2 linked regions of the Oryctolagus cuniculus genome follow. The protein of the gene in region 2 binds, or shares a complex with, the protein of the main gene of each other region. Links are inferred from orthologs where the notes say so. Each region holds a gene or a part of one and is shown on either strand. Other genes may lie near its edges.

Region 1 (5,810 bases), on a different chromosome or scaffold from region 2:
ACATGGAAATTGAGATTTCTCTGCTTCTCAGTGTGTCCCAGAGGGGTGGCTAGGGTGTTCTGTGTGTGTGCGAGTCCCCCTAAAGGCCGAGAGAGGGAGGGAGGGAGAGAGAGAGAGAGAGAGAGAGATGCATGTTCTTGCAGTGAATACAGCGAGGTTCAGAGAGGCTGGTTGCCTGCCCAAGGTCACACAGCAGGACGCGGCTTCCCAGGAACCCTGTCCCTCCCCGCCCTGGGTGGCTCCTGTGCTCACCCCCTGACCGCTGTCACCGCGGAGCAGGGCTGGGATTCCGGGTCCTCTGCCTGGGAGCCGGCAGCCCCTGGACGGGTGGCTCGGCCTTTGGCCCCCCCGTGCTGTAAGGCACCTGTGTCTCGGGTCACTTCAACACCAAAGGCCCCTCCTGGGTGCTGCTGCAGTCCCAGCTCTCTGCTGCCGGGGCCCTGAGCACCATAGGAGACCCGGCTCCGCTCCAGAACTTCGGGCGGTGCCACCCCAAGGTTGACCCAAACCCAAAGCCGAAAGTGACACAGGTGCGTCTTTTCCCGGCATGCCCAGTGCTATCTCCTGGGGCAGCGCCTTCCTCCCCAGGCCCCTCCTGGTGCTTACACAGTGGCACTCACCCAGCGCTGGCCTGGGGGGCTGGGCTAGGCCTCCACCTGCTGGGGCCAGGAGGGGCTTCCTGGAGGAGGTGAGGTTGAGCTGGGGCCGGAGGGATGAGTAAGAGGTTGGCCCTGGGGGGAAGAGGAGGCAGGGAGGAAGGCCAGCGGGCAGCGAGGGCGTGATGGCAGGAGCTTTCCAGGCAGGAGGGAGGAGGCAGTTTGAGGAACTGAGAGAGGCCTGGGAACTCTCTCCAGGAAGTACCAAGTATGAAAAAAAAGGGGTCAGGCCACCAGCTTGTGTGGGGGAGGGGCCGGGGATTTCCCAGGAGAAGTTGTCTTTCTGCTGCCTCCCAGTGAGGGCTTCTTGGAGGAGGTGGCATCCGAGGGGGCGGTGAACAGTGGTTTAATTGCCTTCCGCCTGCATTCACGGGTGTGGAGATGAAGCGGTGGGAGCCCCGCCCACTCGGAGCCCGCGCCTCGGGGTGAGGGTGGGGGAGGGACACTTCACATGTTTGCTCCTGGTCAAGGTGAAACAGTCCCCCAAAGCTGGGAACAAAGGGCTGTCTGTGGCTAGGGGACAGGGGAGTTCCCCATCCCCCCAGGAGGAGTTAGCTGGGCAGGGTTTTGAAGCCTGAATAGGAGTCTGGGTGAAGACGGGCAGGAAGGCGCAGGGGGCAGTGATGGCCAGTGGCTGGCGGCCAGGGCTGGGGAGGGGAGCTGGCGGAGGCCGGTGGAAGCGTGTGGACAGCCAAGGGGCCAGGCGCCGTGGGCAGGGCGTGGCTGGGACGTGCAGGGAGGCAGGGGGCGTGGGCTTGGGTGCTATGGCGGGGGGAAGAGGAGGAGGCGGAGGTCTTAGAGGTCTCAGTGGCCAGCTGGGGGGTTGAGGAGCAGGGCCTGGGGCCTCAGGGCCGGGGGGGGGGCGTGCCTGCAGGCACAGCAGTGGCTCGGCCGCTCAGGGCTGTGTGGCCACGGGAAGGCCCTCGCCCTCTCTGATGCCGGGTTCACCATCCAGAGCAGGAGGCCCCAGCACCTGCGTCTCGGGGAATGTCAGTGAGGACTGTGGCAGGCTCGGGCCCCGGGCGTCCCCCGCACTGGCACGCTGCCTGACGCCAGGAAATCCGGAAGCCGCGCGGGTGCCGGCAGGGGCGCTGGTGCCAGCGTCACAGGGCCCACTTGGAAGTGCCGGCCCCGGGCTGACGGCTGTCCCCGCGTGCTCTGGGGTGGGCTGCCAGGCCCCCAGACGGCCCTCTGCCCACGGCTCAACACCTGTGTCCTGCTGCTCTGGGAAGGCCTGGGCGGAGTCGCTGCGCCCTCCCTGGTCCCCAGCACTGTGCCCTTGGCTGGCTGCTCTTCCTCCCTGTCCCGGGTGACAACATGGGCGTGGCCTTGGGGGGACAGTACGCAGCCTTCTCAGGACAGTTAGGGGCCGATGAATGACCCCTTTTGTCACCTAAGATTAATCCCTGTTTGATAGAACGGTCAGCCCCGAAAGAACGAGGACCACCCCAGTGCCTCGCGCTGTGTGACTTGGGGCCGGTCACAGCCCCTCTCTGGGTCTCGGCCTCTGAATGGGACAGCGCGGGGCTGACCTTGCTGTCTGTCTTGCCGCTCCCTGCAGGTTTGACAACTACTCAGCCAATGTGATGGTGGACAGCAAGCCAGTGAACTTGGGGCTGTGGGATACAGCTGGCCAGGAGGACTACGACCGCCTGCGGCCGCTCTCCTACCCCCAGACGGTGTGCGGCCCCCACCTCCTCGCACGCCCGGCCTCCGCGCTCTGTCCCCTCTGCTTGGGATGCCCTTCCAGCCAGCCTGGCCTCCTGCAGGCCCCGCCGGAGGAGTTGGCCTTGCCCTTCCCAGGCAGAGCCAGGGACCCCCGCTCGTGTCCCCCCCAGCTCTGTGACCACAGCCCACTCTTCCCGGCCTCGGCCTCAGGGGCTCCGGCGTCACGGGGCCCTCATGTCCCCTGGGCTGCTCCAGTGGCTGCTGGGGGCGGGGGAGAGGCTGGGGAGACACCTGTGGGTGCCCCCTCACGAGCCCCCTTGCCCGCTCTGTCCCCAGGATGTCTTCCTCATCTGCTTCTCCCTTGTCAGCCCAGCCTCCTATGAGAACGTCCGTGCCAAGGTGAGGGCCGCAGAGCGATGGTCTGGCGGGGACCCGGGACGGGAGGCGGGGATCCCAGGGCTGGCGTGGGGGCTCAGGGGGCCCCGTGACTGGGCGTCTCCGAGGGTGGCTGGGCCGGGAACTTGGCCAGCTGCCTCCTCTAACCCTGTCTCTCTCCTCCCCTTGCACCTGCGTCCTCCAACCACACACCCCCTCCTCGCGCCTCTCCTTCCCATCTTCTCCCCAACCGCTGTCTCCGGGGTCTGCACGGCGCCACCCAGTGGTACCCTGAGGTGCGGCACCACTGCCCCAGCACGCCCATCATCCTGGTGGGCACCAAGCTGGACCTGCGGGACGACAAGGACACGATCGAGAAGCTGAAGGAGAAGAAGCTGGCGCCCATCACCTACCCGCAGGGGCTGGCGCTGGCCAAGGAGATCGGTAGGGGCTCAGGCTTGGGGCTGGGGTGGGGCGCGGGGGCTCAGCCTCGCCCCGGGCCAGGCTCCGGCGGTCAGCCCGGGCTGTGCCATACCTCTGCTCCATGACCATGTGCCCACTGCCGAGACCCTCTGCGCCTGTGTTTCCTGGCTCAGAGAGCAGGCGATGGTGACAGTGCCTACCTCGGCAGGAGGACTGAGCCCATACACACGAGGTGCCTGGCGGGCAGTACACGGTGGTGGTTAGTGGCCGTGGCACTGGAAGACAAGGGCAGAGAGAGGCAGGGATGGCATAGGCTGTTCTGGGGTTGTGTGGAGCCAAGGCAAGCTTGGGTTTTTCTGGGAAGGCTCCCTGGAGGAGGTGTCGCTGTCTGAGATTGGAAAGGTGACGCACGGCGTCTGCCCTACCCCCACCCCACCTCCCCCTTTTCAGCCCAGCTGCTCCTGCCCGCAGATGGCAGAGGGGAAGTGACATCCCAGGTCACACAGCGAGTAGGTGGCTGCTCTGTGGTTTGGAGGAGGGGCAGCGAATTACTGCAGGGGTGGGGGAGGGGTGGGGCGCTCCTCAGAGTGGCTCCCGCTGCGCCAGGGAGGTGACCACTGTGGGGCCGGCCTCTCCTGTGGTGCCTGGAGCCCGGGGCCACCTGGGCCTCTGGGCACTGCGCCCTCAGCCTCCCCACAGGGTCCCCCAGGGCTCCCCACCCCCACCCCTCCCTGCCTGGGCCCCATCGTGGCCTCAAGCCGGAACTGGCAGGGCCTCGATCCCTTCACAGGAAGAGAAACCGCAGTGCCGCCCGCCTTCCCCGTGACCGGCCTGGGACGCGGCCATCTTTCCAGCCCCCCCCAACCCCGACGCCCCAACCCTGGGTCCCCTGCCCCGTCCTAGGCCCCGCGGGGGCTGGGGGGTGCGGCCCCACCTTTCCTCCTTCCTGGCCAGCCTGTATGTGTCCCAGACGGCGGCTCTCAGCCTGGGCCTTGCTGGCTGTGTGACCCTGGGGTAGTGGTTTGCCCTCACTGGGCCTCCGTCTCCCCTCACGGGGACAGGACTTGGGGGTGCTTCTCTCCTGGAGCTGGCCCTGGGTGGGGCAGGGCAGGGCTATGGCCATGCTGTGACCTGGGCACCTTGGGCCTGGGGGAGGGCGGGGCCCTGCGGGACTAACCAGGAGGCAGCGGCTGCCTCTGTCCCCTCCCCCGGGGCTCCCCAGCCCCGGGATGACGAATTCTGGGGGCGGCTCTGCTCCCTGCTGCTGATCATGGCTGAATATGGCTGTTCCTGGGAGCTGGGCAGAAGGTTCTCCTACTCCATTCCTGCAGCAGTGACGCGGCGGGGGGGACTGTTAGCACCCCCACTTTACTGGAAAGGGGGGGGAAGGCGCTGGCTTCCGGCCGCACACCTAGGAGGTGGCAGGGTGCACATCCCAGCCCTGGGGACCAAACACTGGGGCCGCCCGGTGGAGGGGGGCCATCGCCCATCAAGAGTCCTGGAGACGGAGACTGAGGCCGGGCGGGTGGTGGTGGCCGGTGACCCAGCACGGGCACAGGTCACAGGCAGAGCCGTGGGCAGCCAGGCCCCCAGCTCAGGACCCTGGTGTTGGCCCAGCTGAGCCAGGCCGGGCAAGCAGTGGGGGTGGGTGTGAGGGAAGAGGCAGCTGCTGGTGGGTGTGGGAGGCGCGGAAGTGCTACGGGCCCCTACAGGAACACGCGGCCAAGTGCCGGTGGCCCCTCTAAGCCTGGGGGGTGATGACAAGGGGACCTGAGGGCTGGCTGTCCTTGCCAGACAGGAGTCCGGGGTGGGGGGGGCGCCGGCTCCCTCCAGTGTGAGACTTGGACGAGCGGCCCCACCCTTTCTTTCTCCCCAGCCCAGGCCTGGGGATGGGGGCTCCCCCTTGTCATCCCAACTCCCCCCTCCTAGCTGTGTGCATCTGGACATAGAGCTGGTGCCGACCCTGCTCTGTCCCCTGTGCCTGTGGGCTTCTCTGGGGGGCAAAGTTCCCCTCCCCTGCTCTCCCCTCCCCTCTTGTTCTCCCCTCCCCGCCCCTCCCCTGCACTCCCCTGCTCTCCCCTCCCTGCCCCGCCCCTCCCCTCCGCTTCCTCTGGGTCCTCTGCAGAGGCTTTGTGCTTCCTCACTTCGGGGAACTGTTGAGCTACAGCGGGCGGGGAAGTCACACAGGCTCCTTCCAGAAGGCCGTGGAGCACTGCCCTGCCCTGCCCGCGGTCGGCCCCGGGCTCCAGCCCTGCGCAGTCGTGAGAGCGATGCCATGTGTGGAGGAGCCCCCGCCCTCCAACTCCTGCCCCTCAGGTGGAGGGGAAGTGTGCTGTGAGGGCTTGGGTAATGTCCTCTGACGGCCTCGATTTCCTCATCTGTACAATGGGCGTGCTGGCTCTGCTCACCACCCCTCCTGCCGGGGAAGACAGACGTGGGGCAGGAGTTGATCTGCACTGCACAGAGCCAGGGGCAGGATCGGGGTGGGGACTCCCACAGCGTGTGTGTGTGGGGGGGTGCTGAGCAGGGTGTGGTCAGATCAGATTGGTCCACAGAGCGTGTGGCCTTCCTCTGATTGGTCGGTGACGAGTACCAGCTTGTATCTTTCTGGGAGAGTGGGCTGGGGTCTGTCCGGGTCTGGGGCAGGGGCCTGCTTTGTTAGATCAGAGCCTATGAGCTCCCGCACAG
Region 2 (6,271 bases):
ACCAACCTGGCACCCACGCCTGCAGGATTTCCTTCTCCACCGACTCTGACAGCCCCATCCCCTCAGGGGCTCCCGGCTCCTCGCCCCCTCGCTCGCCTGGCACAGCCTCCTGGTTTGCGGCTCTTGGTCTCCCACCCCTCCTCCCACACGCCTTAGGCAAGAGTCTTTCCAAAGATTCTCCTGGTTGGGTCCTGTGCTGGGGGCTGGCACTGTGCCACCTGCCTCCACCTGACGCAGGCCCAGGCCAGCAGCGACCAACGCACTGGAGCTGGTGTGCCCAAAGTGGGGGCAGGTGGGGCAGGCCCCTGGGCAGGCGGGGATCCTGCAAGGGGCTGCGTGGGGTCAGATCAAGCACGCGGGGGCTCTGCACTTTGCTAGTTGCCAAAGAGGAGTTGGGACGGCCAACAGCCCCGCACCCCACACCGCACCTCTGGTGGGCTGATCCAACGTGGCCACGGGCTGCGCACGCCCCTCCCCACCTGCACCTGCGGTCCCTTGACCGTGAGTTCAGCGCAGCCTCACCAGGAGATACCGGGAGACCGCAGAGATTCCCAGAGGAAGCGAGCAGTGCTGAAGCCCCCCCGACAGGGGAGACCGCACCCCCAAAGCAAACCCCGCTGCTGCCCCTGCGCCTCCTCCTGCACCTGCTTCCCGCGTCCAGGTCACAGGCCGGAGGGTGAGGATCCCGGGCACGGGAGCCGGGCCTCCCTCTCACTGCACTGGAGCTTCTGGGGCGGGAGAAGCAGACAGGTGCACAGACCAGGTGTGAGCCCAGCAGGTCCAACACCCGCAGCGGACACCACCCCAGCGCCCACCCCGACTGCGCGGGCGCAGCGTCTCCGCCCCCGCTTCCCCTCCCTCCTCTCCTTCAGCTCTGACTCCTCTGAGCGTCCTGTGGTTGCCCCTAGCAACAGCCCAGTGCCTGGCTGTAGGGGCCTGCTGCTGACCAAAGGCGGCCCAGGATAGGAGCCAGCCCGCCCCACGCCTGGATGTCCTCGGGGCCTCCCCGTCCATCAACCTGCACCCCTGAGCATCTGCACAGCCTCCCCGTCCATCAGCCTCTGCCTACACGAGGCGCCCACCGTTGCCACTGCCAGGAAGTTCTAGCTCAGCCTGAGCCGAATTCCTGGCCACTGCCCCCGTGCACACTGGAGGAAGAACCCGCCCTGCAAGGCCAGTGTGCCACGCACCAAAGATCAGCAATTAAGGCTTAGAATATCGTCATCCGGTTGTTGATGAGGTTGGGATTAACTTTAAGTCTGTGAATGCTTCTCTTTTTACTAATTATCTCTTTCTTTTCTTTCTCTCTCTCTTTCTTTCTTTCTTTCTTTCTTGCTTTCTTTCTTTCTTTCTTTCTTTCTTTCTTTCTTTCTTTCTTTCTTTCTTTCTTTCTTTCTTTCTTTCTTTCTTTCTTTTCTTCTCCTTCTCCTCCTTCTTCTTTTTTTGACAGGCAGAGTTAGACAGTGAGAGACAGAGAGAAAGGTCTTCCTTCCGTTGGTTCTGCTCCCTAAATGGCTGCTACGGCTAAAGCTGCGCCGATCCGAAGCCAGGAGCCAGGTGTTTCCTCCTGGTCTCCCATAGGGTGCAGGGCCCAAGCACTTGGGCCATCCTCCACTGCACTCCCTGGCCACAGCAGAGAGCTGGACTGGAACAGGGGCCACCGGGACAGAATCCGGCGCCCCAACCGGGACTAGAACCTGGTGTGCCGGCGCCGCAGGCAGAGGATTAGCCAAGTGAGCCACGGCGCCAGCTTTTTACTAATTATTTCATGTGAACACTGTAAACACATCAAAAATGCAGGTAGGGGCCGGTGCTGCGGTGTAGCAGGTAAAGCCGCCGCCTGCAGTGCCTTCCTCCCACATGGGTGCCGGTTCTAGTCCCGGCTGCACCACTTCCGATCCAGCTCTCTGCTGTGGCCTGGGAAAACAGAAGATGGCCAAAGTTCCCCCGTGGGAGACCTGGAGGAAGCTCCTGGCTCCTGGCTGTCACGGCCATTTGGGGAGTGAACCAGCAGATGGAAGACTCTCTCTCTCTTTCTCCTCTCTCTCTCTCTCTGTATTTCTGGCTTTCAAATAAATACATAGAATATTTTTTAAAAAATCATTTACTCGTGTGGCAGAGAGGCGGAGTGACAGAGAGCTCGTATCTGCCAAGGTACTTCCTGCAGGTTAGGCTGGGCCAGGGCTGACGCCAGAGCTGGGAGTCCAGCCCAGGGCGCCCATGTGGATGGCAGGGACGCGATGCCAGTTCCTTGAGCCGCCACTTCTGCCCCGCAGCTTGCAGGCAGGCCGGAGCTGAGCTGCGCACTGAACCCGGATGCGGGCGTCGTGAGCACTGCCGGCCGCGGTCCAGCACATCTACCTGATGTGTTGCTCTATTCTCTCGTTTGCGGCTGGATTTTACTTCACCAGACGGACGTAACCAGGGATGAAGCCAGGCCGATGCGGTTTCACGGCACGCCTCGTCCCGCAGCGCACGGTGGGTGCCGTGCTGGCTGACCGTCAGGTCCCTGTGGCCGCCAGGCCACTGCGAGTGGCGGCTGCCTTGTGCCCCGGCGCAGCTCAGGCCTGCCCTCCCGCTGCCTCCCGCGCTGAGCTGTTGCACAGTTCCCAGTGCCCGGGGCCCTCACCTCTCCGTGCGGTGGTGCAGCATCCCCCGCTGGAAGTAGGCCACGGCCAGGTGCCTGTCCTTGCTGATGCTCTTGGTAAAGGCCTGCGGAGAGGGTGGAGGAGGTCGGAGGCCGCGGGCAGCGTTGGGCAGGGCACGGGTCAGCGCGCCTGTCACTTCCTCGTGGCGTGGCATGGGGCAAGTTCCCTACTCTCTAGCTGAGCCCTAGTTTTCTCCTCTGCATGAGGGGCGTGTTGCCTTTCAAGTTCACTGGATCAGGATACAATGGTTCATTATGAAAATTAAAGTAATAAATAAGAATTTACCCGGAAGGCTGGCAGCATGGGGCTTAGGCAGCCGAGGCAGGGAACAATCCAGACACAGAACGCGCGGGGACGCCCGGCACCCACACCCTCCAGGGCCTGCCCCGGCCGCGCCCTCCGCCGGGGTCTTGCCCGCTGACCCTCGGCTCTGCCTGCGGTGGGTGTGGCCCTGGCTGCGCTCAGGGCCTTGCGAGGATCCGCAGCAGCAGGCAAAGGTGACAGCTGACTTCCGAGACGGGGCGGCGCCTTCCTGCTCCGTGTCTCACGCAATCGCTGCGGTGTTTATGCCCTTGGAGACCCAAGGTGCAGGGAGGAGCGGCGCCGCCGTTTGCCTGGAGCGCTCCTGCTGCCGGACCCGGGGGCGTCTCCCTGGCCCTGACCCCACTGGCCCCCACTGGGGTACGCGAGAGGCAAAAGTACTTTAGAAGGTGCTCAGACCCCATCCCCAGCCCTGCCCTTGGCTGACGCCCTGTCAGTCACGGTTAGCTAGGCGCGCACTGGAGATGCAGCCAGCTCTTGGTGAGCCAGAGGGCCGGGCTGCCCTGGGGGCACCTCGTGGCCGGGACGGGGACAGAGACGGAGACGGAGCGAACCAGTGCCCCGTGGGTCAGGGCCATCACGGCTGAGAAGAGGGGGAAGAGGGACAGCCTGGCCCTGGTCACGGCTCCCGGCCTGGGCTGCCCACGCCCCTCCCGAGCAGCTGGGGAATTTTGGGAGCTGTGGCGCAGGCCCTGCCCAGGCCAGCTGGGCGGGGGCTCTGGGCTAATGCGGAAGCTCCCTGGAGATTTGGGTTCCGTGGCCACCAGCCCGAGGGCAGAGGCTGCGGACACTGAGGAGGTGGGAAGAGCCCTCACTCACCTTCTCTGCCTCAGGCAGGTCTCCCAGGATGGCGTGCACGCAGCCCACGTTGAAGCAGATCCGGGCGTGCGGGTCCTGGACTGCGCAGAGGGCGGCCAGGGCCCCCCTCCAGTCCTCCCGGTCAGCCGCCAGCACCCCCTCATTCCAGAGGCTGATGGCCTCCGCCAGGGACATGGTCAGGTGCAAGCAGGTGTCGGGAGCGGCCAGGGACGGGCGGTGGGGGCAGGACGGGCCCGGCTCCCCTTAAGAAGGCTCTGGTGTTGCAAAGGCAGCGGAAGTGGCCCCACCTTTCAGCCAACTGTGAGAGAGAAGGAACGAGAGGGCGGCGGGGGCGGGCGGGGGGCGGGCAGGGGAAGTACAGCAGGTGCCGTTGTCATGGGTCAGTTCCCCAAAACGCTCCGCTGAGTCTCCGCCTCCTCCTCTGGCTGCAGCCTCTGTGGGGCCCAGGGCAGCCGTGCCAGGGGTGGCTTCCCCAGCTCCATTGCATCCTGGGCTTGGGAGGCTGCGGGGCGGGCGCCTGGCTCCTCCCGGCCTCTCCCGGTCCCCGGCTCTCCTGCTCCTGACCCTGCGACGGCCGTGTCCTGTTGGTTTCATCTTGAGCCACACCAGCGACAGACACATCTCCCGGGGTCCATCTGCACCCGAGGTCACTCGGATGAGCACTCAGGAAGTCCGGGGCGGGAGCGACTGCCCACAAGCGCCTCCGCGTGGGATCCAGGTCGGCCACGAACGGCAATTTCTCCCATTTGTGAGCTGACGGGCTGCGGGCTGCACGGAGGCTGAGACTCCTTGCCTTGCTGAGGGACCACGGGGTCCTGGGGACAGCCAGCGTGACCTAGAGAGCCCCCCGCGGGGTCCTGGGGACAGCCGGCGTGACCTAGAGAGCCCCCCGCGGGGTCCTGGGGACAGCCGGCGTGACCTAGAGAGCCCCCCTGCTCGCTGTTAGGGCTCAGCCCCTGCTTCCTACCGGAAGGAACACACACATTCACACTGCAATTCTCCCAAGAGCCTAAGAAACCGGGGCGTGCGCTCCGCAGGCCGTGCCGGGCGGCGGGTGAGGGAGGGCCGGGGACATGCGTGTGAGCATCCGCACACCTTGCAGGGTCCAGCTGCCCACAGGCCTCGGCCCTGACCCCGCCTCCTCTGCACCTGACCGTGTCTCCTGGGCCTTCGTGTGTCCATCGTGGCCCTCAGCCCCGGTCCACCCACCCCTCCACGCCCTCCGTCAGCGAGGCTGCCCGCCTGACTGCATCTCCTGGGCCGCCCAGCCCCGCCCTGCCTGCCCGCAGTGGGCGCCTTGTCCATGGTCCTCACGGCTCGAGCAGTGAGGTTCTCATCACGCCCGATCCCGGCCCTTCAGGGCCTCCGTGTGGTTCTGAGGACGCCACAGCCGCCGCCCGGCTCGCTCAGCCAGGCTCTCTCCCCTGGCCCTGCCGGGCTGCTCCTACCCATCTCCCACCCCCTCGGGGGGCCCTGCCTGGAGCCAGCACCTCACCGTGCCCTGGGTGAGCCCCGTGCTCTGCGAGGCTCAGTCTGCCCGGCGCCCCCGCGCTGGGCGATGGAGTCTTTACTTGGTGCCCCTGGGGGAGGCTCTCCAGCCCCTGCACGACCCCCTTCCTCCCTCTGGTCCGCCCCATTCTGCCCACGCCTCCCGGCTCCCGCTTGACCCACCCCGGTGTGAGTCTCCTGTGGCAATGGCAGAGACCCCAGGGCCTGTGCCAGGAAGGGGTCTTTTATTATCGATGCCGGCACAAGGCCCAGGTGGGCTTTTGTCCAGAACAAGGCGCGTATTTCCTTATGTGTCTCCCCTGTGCGAGTGGGCGCTCTGAGGACACAGGGCGGCTACGGGACTGATACAACACTGCTGCTGCTGCTGCTCCCACGCGCCTGCTGAGCTGTGTCTGGCCGGGGTTAACGCTGTCCCGAGTGCTAACGAGCATACAGAACACCACAGGCAGCAGGTGGCAACTGCAGTTCTCTTCTGACCGGGGAAGCCTCTTCCACACTTCACTCGTGTCAGCGAGAGATTCATTAGAGGCCTCTGCCGTGGCACAGCGGGTGAAGCCGCCACCTGCAGGGCCGGGATCCCATATGGGCGATGGTTTGGGTCCCAGCTGCTCCACTTGCGATCCAGCTCCCTGCCACGTCCTAGGAAGGCAGCAGAAGATGGCCCAGGCTTGAGCCCCTGCACCCCGGGGGAGACCCAGAAGACACTCCTGGCTCCTGGCTTCTGCCTGGCCCAGCCCCGGCCATTGTGGCCATTTGGGGAATGAACCTGCACATGGAAGACCTTTCTCTCTCTCTCTCTCTCTGCCTGTTCCTCTTGCTCTGTGACTCTGCCTTCAAATAAATAAATAAATCTTAAAAAAAAGAAACAAGAAATAAGTTTGATTAAAAGACAAAGGTGGCCGGCGCCGCGGCTCACTAGGCTAATCCTCCGCCTTGCAGCGCCGGCACACCGGGTTCTAGTCCCGGTCGGGGCA

What was found. The genes of interacting proteins can lie anywhere in the genome.
Region 1: NCF2 (region 2) and RAC2 share a complex: the UniProt entries of both Homo sapiens proteins name them as parts of the phagocyte NADPH oxidase complex. The link is inferred for Oryctolagus cuniculus from reciprocal best matches to the Homo sapiens genes NCF2 and RAC2.

The regions. Positions count from the first base shown.
Region 1 is NC_091442.1:114,249,387-114,255,196, reverse strand, and holds part of RAC2 (ras-related C3 botulinum toxin substrate 2), read left to right. Parts: intron 1-2,217; coding exon 2,218-2,335; intron 2,336-2,660; coding exon 2,661-2,723; intron 2,724-2,983; coding exon 2,984-3,143; intron 3,144-5,810. UniProt on the Homo sapiens protein: Plasma membrane-associated small GTPase which cycles between an active GTP-bound and inactive GDP-bound state.
Region 2 is NC_091444.1:1,498,286-1,504,556, forward strand, and holds the start of NCF2 (neutrophil cytosol factor 2), read right to left. Parts: upstream 3,987-6,271; 5' UTR 3,963-3,986; coding exon 3,789-3,962; intron 2,713-3,788; coding exon 2,630-2,712; intron 729-2,629; coding exon of another isoform or gene 645-728; intron 1-644. UniProt on the Homo sapiens protein: Subunit of the phagocyte NADPH oxidase complex that mediates the transfer of electrons from cytosolic NADPH to O2 to produce the superoxide anion (O2(-)).